4 linked regions of the Schizosaccharomyces pombe genome follow. The protein of the gene in region 2 binds, or shares a complex with, the protein of the main gene of each other region. Each region holds a gene or a part of one and is shown on either strand. Other genes may lie near its edges. The genes, in order: rpb2, rpb11, rpb3 and rpb9. A codon is read from its position in the direction of its gene.

The links.
Region 1: rpb11 (region 2) and rpb2 share a complex: the UniProt entries of both Schizosaccharomyces pombe proteins name them as parts of the RNA polymerase II (Pol II) complex.
Region 3: the proteins of rpb11 (region 2) and rpb3 are in contact, whole or in part, in a crystal structure (PDB 3H0G), measured with the Schizosaccharomyces pombe proteins. Residues at the interface, in NP_593333.1 of Schizosaccharomyces pombe: Arg6 (codon at 1,862), Tyr7 (codon at 1,865), Leu9 (codon at 1,871), Ile10 (codon at 1,874), Glu11 (codon at 1,877), Lys17 (codon at 1,895), Val18 (codon at 1,943), Leu34 (codon at 1,991), Glu37 (codon at 2,000), His39 (codon at 2,006), Thr40 (codon at 2,009), Leu41 (codon at 2,012), Asn43 (codon at 2,018), Met44 (codon at 2,021), Leu45 (codon at 2,024), Asn47 (codon at 2,030), His68 (codon at 2,139), Ile86 (codon at 2,193), Val87 (codon at 2,196), Ala90 (codon at 2,205), Lys91 (codon at 2,208), Leu93 (codon at 2,214), Ile94 (codon at 2,217), His96 (codon at 2,223), Leu97 (codon at 2,226), Glu98 (codon at 2,229), Glu99 (codon at 2,232), Ile100 (codon at 2,235), Lys101 (codon at 2,238), Asn103 (codon at 2,244); in NP_588324.1 of Schizosaccharomyces pombe: Thr5 (codon at 1,624), His6 (codon at 1,627), Ile7 (codon at 1,630), Thr8 (codon at 1,633), Ile9 (codon at 1,636), Ile12 (codon at 1,645), Val17 (codon at 1,660), Asn23 (codon at 1,678), Thr24 (codon at 1,681), Ser25 (codon at 1,684), Leu26 (codon at 1,687), Ala27 (codon at 1,690), Val28 (codon at 1,735), Ser31 (codon at 1,744), Leu32 (codon at 1,747), Arg34 (codon at 1,753), Val35 (codon at 1,756), Glu39 (codon at 1,768), Arg88 (codon at 1,961), Ile164 (codon at 2,189), Lys166 (codon at 2,195), Glu167 (codon at 2,198), His168 (codon at 2,201), Pro241 (codon at 2,420), Asn242 (codon at 2,423), Met245 (codon at 2,432), Val246 (codon at 2,435), Leu249 (codon at 2,444), Arg250 (codon at 2,447), Leu252 (codon at 2,453).
Region 4: rpb11 (region 2) and rpb9 share a complex: the UniProt entries of both Schizosaccharomyces pombe proteins name them as parts of the RNA polymerase II (Pol II) complex.

The regions. Positions count from the first base shown.
Region 1 is NC_003424.3:848,920-854,925, forward strand, and holds rpb2 (DNA-directed RNA polymerase II complex subunit Rpb2), read left to right. Parts: upstream 1-1,716; 5' UTR 1,717-1,756; coding exon 1,757-1,772; exon of another isoform or gene 1,773-1,810; coding exon 1,811-5,427; 3' UTR 5,428-5,466; downstream 5,467-6,006. Other genes in the region: sst1 (calcium permease), read right to left, coding at 1-57; rps802 (40S ribosomal protein eS8), read left to right, coding at 601-1,203; ferrichrome synthetase Sib1, read right to left, coding at 5,604-6,006. UniProt on the Schizosaccharomyces pombe protein: DNA-dependent RNA polymerase catalyzes the transcription of DNA into RNA using the four ribonucleoside triphosphates as substrates. Second largest component of RNA polymerase II which synthesizes mRNA precursors and many functional non-coding RNAs.
Region 2 is NC_003424.3:1,432,107-1,435,364, forward strand, and holds rpb11 (DNA-directed RNA polymerase II complex subunit Rpb11), read left to right. Parts: upstream 1-1,819; 5' UTR 1,820-1,846; coding exon 1,847-1,896; exon of another isoform or gene 1,897-1,941; coding exon 1,942-2,031; exon of another isoform or gene 2,032-2,077; coding exon 2,078-2,309; 3' UTR 2,310-2,736; downstream 2,737-3,258. Other genes in the region: SPOM_SPAC3A12.06C (sodium/calcium exchanger), read right to left, coding at 1-549; mrpl27 (mitochondrial ribosomal protein subunit L27), read right to left, coding at 943-1,047, 1,093-1,269; SPOM_SPAC3A12.08 (uncharacterized protein), read left to right, coding at 3,033-3,258. UniProt on the Schizosaccharomyces pombe protein: DNA-dependent RNA polymerase catalyzes the transcription of DNA into RNA using the four ribonucleoside triphosphates as substrates. Component of RNA polymerase II which synthesizes mRNA precursors and many functional non-coding RNAs.
Region 3 is NC_003421.2:1,782,387-1,788,590, reverse strand, and holds rpb3 (DNA-directed RNA polymerase II complex subunit Rpb3), read left to right. Parts: upstream 1-1,592; 5' UTR 1,593-1,611; coding exon 1,612-1,691; exon of another isoform or gene 1,692-1,733; coding exon 1,734-1,783; exon of another isoform or gene 1,784-1,829; coding exon 1,830-2,593; 3' UTR 2,594-3,152; coding exon of another isoform or gene 3,153-4,616; 3' UTR 4,617-4,799; coding exon of another isoform or gene 4,800-4,805; 3' UTR 4,806-5,694; downstream 5,695-6,204. Other genes in the region: SPOM_SPCC1442.11C (uncharacterized protein), read left to right, coding at 41-589; mrp49 (mitochondrial 54S ribosomal protein mL61), read right to left, coding at 713-980, 1,162-1,301; trp3 (anthranilate synthase component I), read right to left, coding at 3,153-4,616, 4,800-4,805. UniProt on the Schizosaccharomyces pombe protein: DNA-dependent RNA polymerase catalyzes the transcription of DNA into RNA using the four ribonucleoside triphosphates as substrates. Component of RNA polymerase II which synthesizes mRNA precursors and many functional non-coding RNAs.
Region 4 is NC_003424.3:4,750,876-4,754,316, forward strand, and holds rpb9 (DNA-directed RNA polymerase II complex TFIIS subunit Rpb9), read right to left. Parts: upstream 1,531-3,441; 5' UTR 1,458-1,530; coding exon 1,417-1,457; exon of another isoform or gene 1,350-1,416; coding exon 1,283-1,349; exon of another isoform or gene 1,160-1,282; coding exon 1,110-1,159; exon of another isoform or gene 1,068-1,109; coding exon 935-1,067; exon of another isoform or gene 860-934; coding exon 809-859; 3' UTR 515-808; downstream 1-514. Other genes in the region: mid2 (septin ring organizing protein), read right to left, coding at 1-384; pro3 (delta-1-pyrroline-5-carboxylate reductase), read left to right, coding at 1,919-2,767; sdu1 (PPPDE peptidase family protein), read left to right, coding at 3,308-3,441. UniProt on the Schizosaccharomyces pombe protein: DNA-dependent RNA polymerase catalyzes the transcription of DNA into RNA using the four ribonucleoside triphosphates as substrates. Component of RNA polymerase II which synthesizes mRNA precursors and many functional non-coding RNAs.

The sequences.
Region 1 (6,006 bases), 580 kb from region 2:
CTGGGTAATGGTTTCCGCAGAGCTCTCAGATTGATTTATATCAGCAGGTTGAGACATTGTAGGCGGTAGTAATTGTCACAATGATTACTTTTCCGAATCAAACCCTCGCCAAATATTCTATCCCTTAAAACACCTGTACGTAGCTAAGAGGATTGAGTAAATAGGTATTTATAAAAAATTGTTGAAGGAATAGTGAGAAAGGAAGGCATGATTGGAAAGGTTGCGATCATTTTCTATTACGCATATCATAATCAGAATACCAAATTGAAAAAAAGAACGCCAATTCTACAATATCGAAGTCCTCCCATTAGTTCGTTAATGAGCATACAATGTTTACTTCGTTAAAGATTGTCGGGATGAATTGAGCTTAATCAGAGCCGAGCATCGTTGTACAGTTTACTAAATGTAGAGCTAAGCGATAATACGCTAACTTACGGTATCGGTTTTTGTAAGAATACACCGAATTTCGTTAAGTACAAAGTATTAGTAGTAGTATGAAACAAAAATAACAGTCACAGCCAAACCCAAACAATTTCAGTTACTGTGTTATATACTAGTTCATCGTAACCACAGCAAATCTCTTTCTGCAAAAGGATCAGGATGGGTATTACGAGAGATTCCCGCCACAAGCGCTCTGCTACCGGTGCTAAGCGTGCTCAATACCGTAAGAAGAGAAAATTCGAGTTGGGTCGTCAACCTTCCAACACTCGTATTGGACCTAAGCGTATCCATGAGGTTCGTGTTCGTGGTGGAAACAAGAAGTTCCGTGCTCTTCGTCTTGACTCTGGTAACTTCTCTTGGGGCTCTGAAGGTGTTTCCAAGAAGACTCGTATCATTCAAGTCGCCTACCACCCTTCTAACAACGAGTTGGTTCGTACCAACACTTTGACCAAGTCGGCCATCGTCCAAATTGATGCCGCTCCTTTCCGTGTTTGGTATGAAACTCACTACGGTATTTTGATGGGAAGCAAGGGTAAGAAGGCCACTGCTACACCTACTCCCAAATCCAAGCATGTTCAACGTAAGCATAGCGCTCGTCTTGGCGATTCTAAGGTTGATTCCGCTTTGGAAACTCAGTTTGCTGCTGGCCGTTTGTATGCTGTAGTTTCCTCTCGCCCTGGTCAATCTGGTCGTTGCGACGGCTACATCCTTGAAGGTGAAGAGTTACATTTCTACCTTCGTCGTATGGCTCCTAAGAAATAAGGTTGTTTCTTCAATAAATTAGTTCATAAAGGAAGGAATAAAAGGATTCCGAGATTGTTGTATTTCACCTGTATTGTTGATTATTATCAGTAACCAAGGTCGTTAATTATGTAGAGAAGGTAATTTTTATTATTGGCATTTAGAAAAGTGTCTGCTAAATGTTTAGTAATCTCTCCATTTGTCCCAATCAGTAATTGAAATTCGTTTATGTGCTATTAGATATGATTTCTTTACTAAATCTCATTGAACTACGTTTAGTGAAGCCTTTACCTTTTTAATAAAAATTCACGCTAAGTAGCCTTTTACACATAATGAAAGAGTTGCGAATTGCTTTGAAAGGAAAATGGCCTTTCACGTACCTTAGCTATATTGAATGATTAAAACAAGTAAAAGATATAAAAAAACTGGTTCTTTTTTTGATGCTTAAAGACTTTTTTACTGAACACAAAGTCGAATTGCCACTACGGTACGATATCCTTGTTACGGTAGCCTCAACATTTATTCCTCTTCCTCACCGCCAACATATCCTGTTGCGTGTGCCATTTCAACAACAATGTCTTATGAGGATTGTAAGTTACTAATAAAGTCATTTTTAACACCATAATAGATCAATACAATGAGACATTGACTCAGGAGGATTGTTGGACCGTGATCTCGTCGTTTTTTGAGGAAACGTCGTTAGCTCGGCAACAATTGTTCTCTTTCGATGAGTTTGTTCAAAATACTATGCAAGAAATTGTTGATGATGATTCCACTTTAACTCTAGATCAATATGCACAACACACGGGTGCTCAAGGAGATGTTACACGTCGATACGAAATAAATTTTGGACAGATTTATCTTTCAAGGCCTACAATGACTGAAGCTGATGGTAGTACAACTACTATGTTTCCTCAAGAGGCGAGGCTTCGTAACTTGACTTACTCGTCTCCTTTATACGTTGACATGCGTAAAAAAGTTATGGTTGCTGCCGATTCTAATGTTCCCATCGGCGAAGAGGAGTGGCTTGTTGAAGAAGAGGATGAAGAACCCTCAAAAGTTTTTATTGGAAAGATACCAATCATGCTCCGTTCTACTTTTTGCATTTTAAATGGTGTTAGTGATTCTGAATTGTACGATTTGAATGAGTGCCCTTATGATCAGGGAGGATACTTTATTATCAATGGCTCTGAAAAGGTAATCATTGCTCAAGAGAGATCTGCTGCCAATATTGTACAAGTATTTAAAAAAGCCGCTCCGAGCCCCATCGCTTACGTTGCTGAAATTCGCTCTGCTTTGGAACGAGGTAGTAGGCTTATTTCTTCTATGCAGATTAAGTTAATGGCACGTAATACTGAGAATTCTGGTCAGACAATTAGAGCAACACTTCCATATATCAGGAGTGACATTCCTATCGTCATCGTGTTCCGTGCTCTTGGAGTTGTACCTGATCGTGATATTTTGGAACATATATGCTACGACCCAAATGATTTCCAAATGCTTGAAATGATGAAGCCCTGTATCGAAGAAGCATTTGTGATTCAAGATAAAGATATAGCTTTGGATTACATTGGTAAAAGAGGCAGTACTACTGGTGTTACGCGTGAAAAACGTCTTCGATATGCCCATGACATTTTACAGAAAGAGCTGCTTCCGCATATTACTACAATGGAAGGTTTTGAGACTAGAAAGGCGTTTTTCTTAGGTTACATGATCCATCGTATGCTTTTGTGTGCGTTAGAGCGTCGTGAACCAGATGATCGAGATCATTTCGGGAAAAAGCGTCTTGACCTTGCAGGTCCATTACTTGCATCTCTGTTCCGTATGCTCTTTCGTAAAATGACTCGCGATGTGTATAAGTATATGCAGAAATGCGTTGAAACAAATCGTGAATTCAACCTTACCCTGGCTGTGAAGTCAAACATTATTACCAATGGTTTACGTTATTCATTGGCTACTGGTAATTGGGGAGACCAAAAACGCAGTATGGTTAATCGGGTTGGTGTATCACAAGTTCTTAACCGATATACATTCGCTTCAACTTTATCACATTTAAGACGTACAAATACTCCTATCGGTAGAGACGGAAAATTGGCTAAACCCCGTCAGTTGCACAACACACACTGGGGTATGGTTTGCCCTGCTGAAACACCAGAAGGACAAGCTTGCGGCTTAGTCAAAAATTTGTCTCTAATGAGCTATGTTTCCGTAGGTTCACCCAGTGCTCCAATTATCGAGTTTTTAGAAGAATGGGGTTTAGAAACACTGGAAGATTACAACCCTTCAGCGTCTCCTAATGCAACAAAGGTCTTCGTGAATGGTGTGTGGTTAGGAGTACATCGTGATCCAGCTCATTTAACAGAGACGCTACGCAGCCTTCGTCGTAGATTGGACATATCTGCAGAGGTTAGTATCGTTCGCGATATCCGTGAAAAAGAGCTTCGTCTCTTTACAGATGCAGGTCGTATTTGTAGACCATTATTTATTGTGGATAACAATCCTAATAGTGAAAGAAGAGGAGAGTTATGTATTCGTAAAGAGCATATCCAACAACTAATAGAGGATAAAGACAGATATGACATTGACCCCGAACAACGCTTTGGATGGACCGCTTTAGTATCTAGTGGTCTCATTGAGTATCTAGATGCAGAAGAAGAGGAGACGGTTATGATAGCAATGAGTCCGGAAGATCTTGAAGCATCACGTCAAATGCAAGCTGGGTATGAAGTTAAGGAAGAACTGGATCCTGCACAAAGAGTTAAGCCAGCTCCTAATCCTCATGTGCATGCTTGGACCCATTGTGAAATACATCCTGCGATGATTCTTGGCATCCTTGCTAGTATTATCCCTTTTCCTGATCATAATCAATCACCTCGTAATACTTATCAATCTGCAATGGGTAAACAGGCTATGGGAGTTTATCTTACAAACTACCAAGTACGAATGGATACCATGGCAAATATCCTATACTATCCACAGAAGCCGTTGGCGACTACTCGATCGATGGAGTACCTAAAGTTCCGTGAACTTCCTGCTGGCCAGAATGCTATTGTCGCCATTCTATGTTATAGTGGCTATAACCAAGAAGACTCCATTATTATGAATCAAGCTAGTATTGATCGAGGATTATTCCGCAGTATTTTCTACAGAACGTACACGGACCAAGAAAAGAAAATTGGCATGACTGTTATGGAGGAGTTTGAACGGCCGGTCCGGTCTACAACCCTAAGGATGAAACACGGTACGTACGACAAGCTTGAGGATGATGGTTTAATTGCTCCTGGCACTCGAGTGTCAGGCGAAGATATTATTATTGGTAAAACAGCTCCAATTCCCCTAGATCATGAAGAATTAGGTCAACGTACTCAGTTACATGCAAAGCGTGACGTTTCCACTCCTTTGAGAAGCACTGAAAGCGGTATTGTTGACCAAGTAATGGTCACCACTAACCAAGAAGGCTTAAAATTTGTTAAAGTTAGAATGCGAAGTACTCGTATACCCCAAATTGGTGACAAATTCGCGTCAAGGCATGGTCAAAAAGGTACCATTGGAATGACATATCGTCATGAAGATATGCCATTTTCTGCACAAGGAATTGTTCCTGATATCATCATTAATCCACACGCCATTCCGTCTCGTATGACAGTTGCTCATTTAGTCGAATGTCAACTTAGCAAGGTTTCTGCTTTATCTGGTTTTGAAGGTGATGCCACACCTTTTACAGACGTTACGGTTGAAGCGGTTTCTAAGCTGTTACGTTCACATGGCTTTCAGTCGAGAGGATTTGAAGTTATGTACCATGGTCATACTGGTAGGAAGCTTGTTGCCCAAGTTTTTCTTGGTCCCACATACTATCAGCGTCTAAAGCATTTGGTGGACGATAAAATTCACGCTCGTGCTAGAGGACCTGTGCAAATTTTGACTCGTCAACCCGTTGAAGGCAGATCTAGAGATGGTGGCCTTCGTTTTGGAGAAATGGAACGTGATTGCCAAATTTCTCATGGTTGTAGTAGTGTATTACGAGAACGTTTGTTTGATTGTTCTGATGCGTACCGAGTTATAGTATGCGATATTTGTGGTTTGATAGCGATCGCCAGTTACAAAAAAGACTCATATGAATGCCGATCATGTCAAAATCGTACTCGGTTTAGTCAAGTTTATTTACCGTATGCTGCCAAGCTTTTATTCCAAGAATTGATGTCGATGAATATTGCACCGCGGTTATTTACTAAAAACCATAAGTAGTTTTGCTTATTTGAATAAATTAATACATAAACATAGCATGAACATACAGAAGGATGATCGGTGTGATCTTAAAGAAGCTATCATTTATTTACATAAGCTACTTAAATTGTGTTCTAACAGATATATATATTATTTATATAATAATAATGTAGTTGTTACCTAATTTCGGCTTCAATTTAAAGTTCAATTTCCTTAATAATTGTAACAAAATTGTTTATAAAAACACTGGCTTCTCTTTTGGAAAATATAGACGATTGGCAGAAAAGACCAATTTCGAGGTAACCATCTCGAATTGCCAACTCAAAATCTAACTTGGGTTTGTTTCCAAACAAAATTTCACAACCATCAATGGTGGTTTCAACTTCGTTAATCTTTAGTTCCGCATTGTTGAGTTTCAACGGGTATACGCTGAAAACTTTACTTGGTTCATTGTTATCACCAGTTGACAAGAAATTTACTGCGATATCCATCATGCCATGAACAGGGAGATCCAGCAAAGATATGTATTGTAGGTTTCCCGAAATCTCATTCAAAAAAGACTGAATTTCGAGAGCTATTTCACCTAAAGGTCTGAAAGTA
Region 2 (3,258 bases):
CCCAATAGCCATTCCCCCACTGTTGACACGTACAGCAGCGAACGTACTAAGAATATCAGGAGATCCATTGCCTAAAGCAAGAAAAGTAACGCCAACCACAGAATCGGGCAATTGAAGTAGCCACGAAATAGTAACCAAATTGGTACTAAAAAAATCACTAGCAGAAATTCCGATAGTTATGAAAAGGAAAATCAGCCATCCCACAATTATTGATAACACTGGGAATCGGAGACTGTTAATGGTACAAAAATAAAATTCAACGTAATCAAAGAACCCACTAGCCTCTCCCTTACAGTAAGCCTTTGCAAACCGACATTGATTAGCAGGGGTAATGTTTTTGATATCATTGCATGTAAGTAAAATTTGGTCGTTGCTATCATTTAAGGTATTTCCGCGCTCAAAAAGATGGACGGTTGAGTCCGAAGTCGAGGATACTGAAGCAAACGCTTTGCTAATCCGATGAGTCCAGAATAAAATGTAGGCAATGCCAAGGATACACCAAAGTAATATTAGTCTGTATTTCTTCAAGAAACATGAAGTTTTCGACATTTTTATACCTGATATCCAAGATATAGAAAATCCATGCTTAAACCGCATTGCTAGGTATTAGCAGCCCTTTTTTTTCTAAGATAGATGGGATGAAAAAGACTAATCCTATAATAAATATATAAATGCGCAGTACTCAAGATTGCCCCCAATTTTGGCAGAAAAAGTAAGAATGTAACTAGTATATTTAATAGAAGCAAACGTCACAACAGAATATCGATAAATATACGTGTCCGTAAACAATAAATAACAACAGTCAACGCAACATAAGGTATCGTAACGTAGAAATTTCTCCTTTCAAAGTGTATGCCCAATCATTAACAGATAGAATAAAGCAACAGTTGAAAAGGGTACCAAAATTTTTCAAAACAATAAAGAATGAGGCTGATAAACATACTAGCTATGAGCAAGATCAAAATACACAGCTCCATCCAACCCATTTGCACCTTCAGGATAAGTTCCTTTAGTGGCTTGAATTCGACGAGAAACAAAAGGCAAAAGCTTTGAAAGTTAATATAAAACAATATTCATTAATTTACAACATACCTCACAATCACCAGAAGGAGGCACAAACGTGCGAACACGCGACCACTGGACAAGAAAACCTCCATGCCTGGTTTTTTGACCCATTTTCCCAGTTCTTGTACCCTTGTAATACTGATGACCCAACTTTGTGGTCATTGGCAAGCGTCTTGCTCCAAAACATAATAATGATTGATGCATTTTGAATAACTCTCGATTTGGGTAAATGGAGGGTTTAAGTTGGCGCGTTTTCCGTCATAAAAGAAAAGGTAACGGTATAAGGTAACAGTCAAAGCGAAACATAGAATGTAAACAATAAAAATATTTGTTTAAAACGAACAAACGAATTACATTATGAAACTAAAAAATGAAATAAGTACGAAAAACTATTTTTTTTTCAACATTTAAATGAGCTTTCTTGTTGTTTATCTTTCTGCACAGTTCAATGAAAACAAGTACGGTTAATCTACAATTAAACGCCTCAAAATATGCCTTTAAAAATTTTAGTTATTAAAATCAGTTATTAAAAAATACTGTTACATCTCCCATTTCATTACTCGTTTGAGCCGATTTCCAACAGATAAATATATATTAAGTGTCCGTTCACGTTCGCGTTATTTATAACGAAATACGATGAGTTGTGGAATAAAGTGTTAAAGCTTTTGTTAAATGGCATTACGATTTATAGTGATGCTTAATGTACAGAACGTGGACAAAACCCTCGTAAGCATCAACATCTTACTTCTTCTTCAGCTAGTCGGCTGAAAACGTTGGCATAATGAATCAGCCAGAACGGTATGAGCTCATTGAGCTTATGGGACTCCCCAAGTAAGGAATAAACAATTTTACAAGGAATTGCATTAACCAGTGTAGAGTCACATATGAGCTCGATAGCAAATCACCTAATGCCGCAGTAGTTACTCTTGAAAAAGAGGATCATACATTGGCTAATATGCTTGCAAAGTAAGACTTCTAAATTTTTTTTTCTTTTCTAACTGCTTTTTCGAAGTCAACTCCTATCTGACGAAAGGGTTCTTTTTGCTGGTTACAAAGTTCCTCATCCATTAAATCACAATTTCATACTTCGTGTACAAACCGTAGAAGATTGTTCTCCAAAGCAGGTTATTGTTGATGCTGCTAAGTCCCTTATTACTCATCTGGAAGAAATCAAAGTTAATTTTATGCGTGAATGGGAGTTGAAAATGATATCTGTTGAAGGCGTTGAAATGGAGTTTTCCTAAAATCCACGGCTGCTTTTTCTCTAATATTTATTAGAGTTTTGTTTCAAAAAATACAGAATACCCTCTGTATGCATCTTTATTACAAAAATTTTGACTTTCGTTTTCGCAACTTCTGTAATTTGGACCGAAGTCGTATTAAAAGGGAAAATAAAAGTTTCTTTCTTTTTTGAAAACAGATGCTTTAAAAAAGGTGAAAGTTCTCCGATCTTTTATTGTATATGCTTCTTCATAAACCAACTAGAAAACTGCAGCAATGGCGATGAAAGTTTTTCTAGGTACCTGGATTATTCTCTGATATTGCTTTTTTTTTCAAAGTTGAATTTTGCTGAATGTAATCGAAGTGATTAATTTCCTACAGTAGGGCAGAGCATCGATTCTTACATTCAATCTTAAAAGAAATAAATTAATTAATGTTGTACTATTACAATTTATGTCATTGAATTATTCACAATCATCATTTTCTCTCCAAATGCTTTGCTTCAATTGCATTACGAAATTTGTTTATTCCTGTATTAGTTATTATTATAGAATACTTTTTGGATATGTAAGTAATTATATTTTCTTAAAATATACGATAAATATTCTTGCATAAATTAATGATACCCTATGCTTTGCACATATGCTCCATCTGCGTATCAGTTTTATAACGTCCGAATATCGCTAATAGTAAACGCTCCTATTACATTGTGACGAAAAGTTTGAAACTTTGTTCAATTTTTGATTATGAGCTCTAAATTATTTCAAAATAAGCTGTTATTAGCAGGGATTGGGGGATTTATGGTAGGCGGTCTAGCTTCTTGGGTTGTTTCCAGTGATGCCTATACAGCATATCATCGACTACCAGCAAGTGCGAAACATATTTCTGAAATTTCGAAATCGCCTGAAGCTGTTCAAATGATTGATAACATTTATCGCGAACGTCAACGCAGCATGAAAATGGAGGAGCATC
Region 3 (6,204 bases), on a different chromosome or scaffold from region 2:
CATCTTCTGTTCAGTTAAACTTTGAATCGTTTACAAGTACATGCTCATCGTTAACAGAAACCCGAAGAGTTTGGTAAGAGGATATTGTAAAAAAGATATTGTACTTCGTAATTTAGATGGTTGGCTATTTGATATGATCACAATTTCAACCATTTTTAAACTCTACAATCAAATTTGTTCACTTTCCTCCACTGACCGAAAAAAAACCTCAATATCTAATAAACTGCAGCAGGAATTTTGCATTATGGATATAAACAAAGTTGGCAGAAATTTTATTTCTTTAGGAAAAATACGATCAAGTAAGAGGAGAAACGCTATTTTGTCATACCAAACGATCATTAGTTCATTCCCTCATAATCATGTACAAAAACTTTTTCAAAGAACTCAATCAACAAATATGATTTATACCAAGTTAGAATATTTCGGTCATTCTTTGTTCTTTTATTTTACGGCATTTACGCTCTCGTTCAAGGATAGAAAAATCTTAATGCAAGCCGATGTATTTTTTAGACTAAAGCTCGTATTCAAGATAGCATTCTTTTTCACTCAAACAACTTTTTTAAATAAAAAAGAAAATAGGGAATTGTAGGTTTATGGATCATCAAACAAAGGAATACAGTAAACGGACTGCAGCAAAACTAAAGGTTTTTTAGAAAAAAAAAAGATGCATATTTTGTTCACTGAAAAAAAGTAATTTTAAAAGCGTTTTTGCTTAATTAGAAGGAGGTGAATAATCTTGTTTGTGCGCTTCCTTAATGTTTTCCGGGGATGACTCGTGATGAAGTTCTTTAAGCGCTTTTTGAATATCGGAAGAAATTGTTTCCAGCTGTTTTGACCGCATGTCGTACGAATAGATTACTTTGTTGTTTGAGATAATGGAAAATGTTGGAGTTTGATCGTTCGGTAAACGGTGATTAACGTTAAACTTCAAGCCGTAATTGTTGTAATACAATGAAGGAAGACATTCTTTTACAAATTTTCTAGAATTTAAAACGTTAGCAATGAACAACGCATGAAACGGAATCGTAGATCAGTGCTTCCTCACACAAAGTATTATCAAGCAGTTATTTGAGAGAATTAAACATGAATTGAGCATAAAATGTTTGAGGTACCAGTACATAGACAACATCGATGATTCTAACACGAATAAACAAAACTTACTTAGCACCCATATGTCCCAAACGGCTGTCTAAAGAATATTGAATAGATACTTCCTGAATATGTTTTGGTAAAGGAATCCCTAAAGCTCCAGCACGAATCTTGTGCAAAGATTTTTGTAATTTACCGCCTATGCTAGACATGGCGAAAATGTAAAGTTGTAGTAATAATCAGCCAAACAAAAATGAAAGAGTTTGAAACAATATGTTTTTATTCAAATATTCTGTCGGGATGAACAGAGAATATAAATATTAATGAATTAAGCCTAATGCCGTAGATTCGTACTCTCTTGTCAATTGTTGCTTGCTCTCTTTAAAAGCGAGTTCCTTGATCTCGCATTTAACGTAGTTTAGTGTGTCCTTATGCTAAATAAGGGATCACCTAACAGTGCGGAATGGGAGAAATGAGTATGAAATTCTGCAACAAGCATAGACCAAACGACACATTCTCATTATGGATTCAGAAACGCATATTACGATACGAAATATAAGTAAAAACTCGGTGGATTTTGTCCTTACAAATACAAGTTTGGCGTAAGTGAAAAGCTCTAGGAAATTCCTTCTAATAGTTGAAAGAGTTGCAAACTCGCTGCGACGTGTTGTACTTGCAGAGATTCCAACAGTGGGTAAGATTTAGGTTCATTCTTGAATTAAATACTAATGATGTTTTAGCCATTGACCTAGTTGAAATTAATGTGAATACCTCAGTCATGCCTGATGAGTTTCTAGCACATCGTCTTGGTATGATACCTCTGGATAGCTCCAACATCGATGAACCGCCTCCAGTAGGTTTGGAATATACGCGCAATTGCGATTGCGATCAGTATTGTCCCAAGTGTTCAGTCGAGTTGTTCCTAAATGCCAAATGTACTGGTGAGGGTACGATGGAAATTTATGCTAGAGATCTTGTTGTTTCTTCTAACTCTTCTCTTGGACACCCTATTCTCGCCGATCCAAAATCACGCGGACCGCTTATTTGCAAACTCAGAAAAGAGCAGGAAATTTCTCTGCGTTGCATTGCCAAGAAGGGTATAGCTAAAGAACATGCTAAGTGGTCACCTACTTCAGCTGTTGCATTTGAATACGATCCATGGAACAAGTTACAGCATACTGATTACTGGTTTGAGAATGATGCAGATGCAGAGTGGCCAAAAAGCAAAAATGCCGATTGGGAAGAACCACCGCGGGAAGGCGAACCATTCAACTTCCAAGAGGAACCGCGTCGGTTTTATATGGATGTCGAAAGTGTCGGTTCTATACCACCCAATGAAATAATGGTTCAAGGTTTACGAATTCTTCAGGAAAAGCTTGCAGTTTTAGTTCGTGATCTCGACGAAGAGCAGCCTACTCAACTTTCTGCTAACGAACTGAATATGGAGGAGAATGCAGAAATGAACTGGTCTCCCTATCAAAATGGTGAAGAAAACACGTGGTAGACTATGCTTCAATTCTTTTCTAAAAATTATCCATTTTCATCCTTTATATGTTTGTTGTTATAAAAAATACTCTAGATGCGTTTTTTTAATCATCTAAAAGTTTTTAATTTATGGCCTGCGTCCGTTCATGTCATACCTTACACATTTTTATCTAATCCTTTTTTTTTTGGCTTTTGGCTACAACATATTGTACGTATTGATATGCATATATAGAGATATATATTCCTCCCTCATATCATAATTTTGTTCTTCTTCACTTGGATTTATTATAGCTTTAGATAATTTCGTGAAAGAGAACACTTTCGGAATTGTCGTTTTGATATCTTTTTAATTTTCGGTGATTGCCTCTTGAACTCTTTGTTGGAAAGTTTATATCGGCTCACCATGCTCACAATGAATAGACAAAGTTGCTACAAGTGGACAACGAGATTACAGAATACAATTTTTTATAACGATGTTTTATTCGTTTACCAAAAATAAAGACAACAAAAAAGTTTTTAAAAACCTCAACACTTTAAAATAACATGTACAACGAGAACCGAAAGCGTCTCCTTTACTTTTATGCTGAAGAGTTTTCTTCTTCAGCGTATAATTTTTCGGTTTCCTCAATTGCAGTAACATTTGAACGTAGTTTGTTTAAAGTTTCCACGTACTCATCTTGTTCATCTGAATCAAACACAATACCACCACCGGCTTGCAAATAAACAGTTCCGTCTTTATAAACCATTGTACGGATTGCTATACAAGTATCCATGTTGTCATCTTCATAGCCCCAACGACCTACGGCTCCCGCGTATATACCACGCTTTTCTTTCTCTAATCCATAAACGAGCTGAATTGCACGGACTTTGGGAGACCCACTGACCGTTCCAGCCGGAAATATACTACGGAATGCATCAAAACGAGTTTTATCAGGTCTCAGAACACCAGAAACTTGAGAAACAAGATGCTGAACATGAGAAAACTTTTCAATAGTCATCAACTTGTCAACACTTGTTGTGTCGAGATCACAGACACGACTGACATCGTTTCTTGCCAAGTCCACCAGCATTACATGTTCAGCTCTATCCTTGACACTAGCAAGTAAATCCTTGGCATATGCCTCATCCTCTTCTTTAGTTTTTCCTCTTGGAACAGTTCCGGCAATGGGATGATTGATAATACGCCCATGCTCTGATTTAACCAGTAATTCAGGGGAAGCACCGATTATGTCGAAATCATCACAGTGGATGTAGAACATATAAGGGGACGGGTTAACTGTTCTTAAATGGCGGTACAAATTAAAAGGATGTAAATCTGTACGCCTAGCAATCCGTTGGCTTGGGACAGCTTGGAAAATATCGCCATTAAAGATATGTTCCTTGAGGTTGGAAACAAATGCTTTATACCCGTCTTCGCCTACATTTGACTTAGCTTCGTATCCTAAATGGACCTTCTTTTGCTCAGGCAAAGGAATTTCAGGACTTTCAAGTTTCTTTTTAAGCATATTGATTTTGAAAACGGCAGCTTCGTAAGCCTCTTCAATGGGTCGGCCTTGCTGAATGCAAACATGAGAAATTATCTTGACAGTCTGATAAGCATGATCGAAAGCGACTAAATCGTCGGTCATGAAAAACATAGCCTCCGGAAGACCCAAGGTATCTTCTAAAGGCATTTCAGTAGTGGGTTCAAAATATTTGATGCAATCATAAGAAACATAGCCCACAGCACCTCCACTGAAAGATGGCAGACCCTCAACAGGGGCTGTTTTAACTTCTTTCAACTCACGTTCTAAACGTGCCAAAGGATCTGTTTTTCCATTGGCCATTAATATTCTATAAGGGCTGCCAATAAAACTGTATCTTGAGACACTCTCTCCTTGAGTGACACTTTCTAAAATAAACGAATACTTCTTTCCTTGATTAAGCTTCAAGTAGGCTACTGAAGGAGTCAGCATATCGGCAGGGATTACTCCATAAATGGGAATCTTGTTAGCCTTGTGCTTTTCAGCAAGCTCTTGAACTTGTTTCAAGTCAGGATAAATCTAAAATAGTATTAGTATCATGTATTAATTTTAAGCTTCATAGCCCTAGAAACGGCGACTTTTACAGTTAAAAGCAATACAACAAAGGAAAGACCCAATCCTAAACTCGTCAATATATCCCAATACTACTATTTATTTTCCATAGGTTGGGTCTCCTTGTTAGAACAAAAAAAATCAAATTACCTTCATCTTATTGACAAGTCTATACTCGAATAAGTGCAAATTCAATAGCAAACCAAAAAAATCCCTTAAACTTGAACCGATCTATTTCCAGAAAGACAAGCAATTCCAAATTTTTCTGTAAGCGAAGAAAGAAAACAAAAGAACCAATTAATTCAACAACGTAAAGCTGCTGGAAGAAGACAACTTGTGAAAGTTGGAAAATTCATCTAAATTAGATGAAAAATATAACGGATGCGTTGGAAAACGTTATATGGTTAAATGTAAATAAAAGACTGGAAATAGGAATTAGGAAGTTATATTTAACTGCGGACAAACCGATAAAAGTATTTTGTTTTAGGATAAGATTTATTTTTTTCCTAAGCTCTTAGGCAAATTCTTAAAATGGCCAAAGTTTCGTCGAACATAAACTGCAATCTAGTTAAGATCTTGATTTCTTTTTTTTTTATTTTATTTATCTAGTCTCCTTGGTTTGATTTAAAAATGTTAAAAATAAAAGGCATTCGTTTAGATGAAAAGGGTGTGTATGTTAGCTAGAAAGTTGCAGACCTGAATAGAGGAGAAGACACTGTGTAAAAGTCCTCTACAAAATCTATGAAATTTCGTGAATCATGCGCTTATAATATTCAGAAATTGAAAAGAGGAACAACGATTATAACGAAAGAGAACTAAGAGGATTTAGGCGTTGGAATTGGTATAAGAGAATACATGACTCGCTATTAGGGCAATTCAGAATAATGTTATATTTATGCTAACAAATTTATAAATTTAATAGAGTCGACTACCCTTAGGATTTGAAGTGCGTCTTATACCGAAACGATCGAAGTGAATTAAAGTGATTGCTTGTTTAAGTGCAATTGAACAGTCAAGGCTAGTCATCTATAAATCTGAACAGTTCAACTTAATAAGCAAAAAGTAATGTTATTCGATCAAGGATTTTTCGTCTTGTGAATGATCTTGCAAGTTAATAAAAACGGAGATGAAACTCTCGAACGTATAAAAACAATCAATCGCTGGTTAAATTCAATCTTTTAGCAAAAAAGGATTTTAATTGTATAATGTATTCAATCGGGAAAAGCAAAAGAGGGTCTTTCACGCGGCACTATTTTTTTGCCTGAAAATAAATAAGTAAATAGAACAGTATCCTAAAAACAGTTTATTCAAATCCTTTTTAAACGAGTATAGGAATCTTGTTTGTTATATATTGGATCTCTGTCAGTTCAAATTCATGTTATTAAGTAGAATAAATACCTCTTTCACTTCACTCAATAAACGCAGATGCAAAAAGAAAATAGGAAAAATAGTATAGGATAAAGGTAAGATCGCACTGTTATTAAACAGTTATTTTACTTCTACAGTGTTGATTCCTCATGATTTCAAGTTAAGATATTGTCGTACAAAATCCCGA
Region 4 (3,441 bases), 3.3 Mb from region 2:
TTTGTTTACGTCTTCAACACTTGTACTACTACTATCCGTTTCATTCATGACAGAGTAAGTTGGGGTCCTACGAACTTCTGTAGAAAAAGGAAGAAGAGACTGATGATCATCAAAACTGGAAGAATTTGATAACGTTTGATCATAAGGGAAACTATCGCCATCTTCAGCATCCTCAGATTCAGCAAAAGAAGGGGCCGTAGACGAGATGTTACTGCGATTAAAATTTCTCATTGTACTTTCTCGAGATATCGATGCGATTGTAGAGGCATAGTCAGAACATTCGTAATCAGTACTTGGGATGGGAGAAGGAATTCTCAATGCTCTATGGATGTCAGCTAAATACATTTTAGCATGCTGATCCTGTTGAGAAGCAGTCATCAACATTATGGAAAGCCTTGGAATTTAACAGCTCTGCTGAAATTAGAATATAAAAAAAAATAAAGGCACAAAGAATTAAGGGTTTTTATTTAATTGGTATTCGGATTACAAGGCTATTCCGTATGGATTATTGTATACAAATAACTGAAACAGTTTCAGTATATTCCAGAAGGTACACCGAATGTGAAATAAAGAAATTCAAGTGTTTTGGTAGGCGCGTTGCTTAATATAAAGGAAGGAGGCGAGCATATGATTGAGAGGCTGGTAAATCCATTTTCGGCAAAGGTGGCTGGTATCACTCGAAAATCCAGTTTTCCAGCACAGAAGCGAGAGAGTGGTTACATCAAGCGGATCATTTAAACCGAAGTCTAAGAGCCATTGGTGGACGCAGCTAGTTTTACAATCCCTTGTTAGACCGAATTGTCGCATATTACTGTTCTTCAAAAGCAAATCCACAATGTACGCAAACATAAATCAGAGTCTAATTAAGTCAGTAAAATTGTTTTTAAACCTAAATATTAAAATTGTTTTCTCAATGAAACAATGCGAAACACACCATCATAGTATCACCCCGACGAGAATGAGTCTGATAAAAAACTGCTTCATGTTGATGACAACGCGGGCATTCTTTGTCTGATCTAGGTAAAGTAGGGTCCGTTGAAGCGTCGTGACTGACCGTCGTGTTTTCTCTACAAATTTAGTGATTATTCGAAGGATGAAATCTAACTTACACATTGGAGCTTTGTAACTCATGGCGATAAACTTTACTAGTAGCAGCGATCTATACAAATTAGCTGATGAGATATTTAAAACTTCCAAATGATGAGGAAAAAAGTAATCGAAAAGAACTTCGAATTTTTTTCTTGAAGTGAATAAACCCAGTAGGAGAAAAAAACAAGCTTACCTCTGAGTAATCACAATTACGACAAGCTAGCCTCAGAACACGATCCACTTTATCCTCTCTAGGGTACCTATTTATTTCATGTTAGTGTTTTCAAACAATTTTCAGTGTCATCTTTTTGAGAAACTAATCCGTACAGCATATTATTGCATTCTATACAATATTGAAAATTTGACATTTTAAAAAAGCAAACAAAAGTATTTTACTTCAACGCAATAAACTTTCAAAAGAACGTGGTGGTTAGTGGATATGGAAAATACAGTGGACAACAGCGTCCTGATGGTTCACATCTATAAGTTCGAAAAAGCTTTTGTTTATCTACAACGTCTCTACAAGATTTCGTTAAAAACTGTGTAGCTGCTTTAAAATTTATTTGCGATATACTTAATATTACTAATTATATAGAAGATATATTGACTTTAACGTGTAGCATTATTCAAACATGGACTAGTCCTACAAACTTGTAACATCATACTTCAGTATCTTACATTATGCACATCAGCGAGTAAAACGGTAATTTACAGTATGAGTTTGATTTTGGAATTAACGATCCCTTAGCATATGCTTTAGTCGAATTTATTTTCGCTTTAAAAGAAGACTACAAAAATAGTTAAACATTTTTAAGCATAACTTTAAAAAATGTCGGGGTTTTGTGTTCTTGGTTGTGGTACAATGGGAAAAGCACTTTTGACTGGAATCTTTGATTCCATTGCTGAAAATGGAAACGATGTTTCTGACGAAATTATCATTCCGAATAAGTTCTATGCTTGTGTCAAATTTCCTAAAGAAAAAGAGGATGTTCAAAAGCTTTTCGGAGATCGTGTTAAAGTTGTAATGGGGGCCAAAGAGAATGCCGAGATGGCTGCGATTAGTAACGTTTTGTTGTTGAGTTGTAAGCCTCAGGCCGCAGAGGATGTTTTGAATTCCCCAAAGATGAAAGAAGCGCTCAAAGGAAAATTAATTTTGTCAATTTTGGCTGGCAAGACCATCTCTTCATTGCAAAGTATGCTTGATGAAAGTACTAGGGTGATTCGCATTATGCCCAATACTGCTAGTCGAATCCGTGAAAGTATGAGCGTAATTTGCCCGGGACCCAACGCAACTGAAGAAGACATAAAGTTTGCTGAATGGGTATTCAATGGCATTGGACGTTCAATGAAACTTCCCGAAAAGCTTATTGATGCTGCTACCGCTGTATGTGGAAGTGGACCTGCTTTTGTTGCTACTATGATTGAGGCTATGACAGATGGTGGTGTAATGATGGGTATTCCGTTCCCTCAGGCTCAGGAATTGGCTGCCCAAACTATGGTTGGTACAGGTCGTATGGTTTTACAAGGTCAACATCCTGCTATGATTCGTAATGATGTTTCAACTCCTGCCGGATGTACAATTAGTGGTTTGTTGGCATTGGAAGATGGAAAAATTCGAAGCACAATCGCACGTGGTATAGAACAAGCAACCAAGACTGCTTCTGGCCTGGGTAAATGATACTAGCAAATTCATTTTGTGCTATTAAATATCCTGGTTCCAAACATGGATTTGTATATAAAATTCTTGGGTTAGTACTTCTGTTTCCTCTTTAAAGCTAGTTTCGTTATCTAGTTGTATTAAAGCGTTGTGACTTAGTTTCATTCAATGATTCCTCTGTTTAAGCTTGCAATTCTGTTACATTACTAATAATATGCGTATTCGAACAGCGAGATTATATTTCATTAACTTTTTAGAACGTTGTATGCAATTAAACCCATTTCATTGCGATTGCTATCGTAGTGAATTTAGCTAAAGGTATTCAATATTGAAGAAACGTACTATGTTTTGATTATTTTAACATTGTCATAGTCGTACCGATGTAAACAAAATCACCACCATAAACAGCTCCCGTATTTTAAATTTTTATCCTTAATTCGACTCTACTTTTTTTTATTAAAAATACTTAATTGTACAGGTATCGAATCTTAAAATTCAACCTGCTTAAGGAGGACCAAGGAAATTTGCAAGTTGTTCTTCGCCATCCGAACGTATTCGAATATGAAAGTATACATTAATGTGTATGATCTAATGCCAGACAGTCCGGTAAACAAACTAGCATGGACTCTTGGACTTGGTATTTACCATACAGGATTGGTTTTAGAAGGTAAAGAATATGCGTTCGGAGCACACGA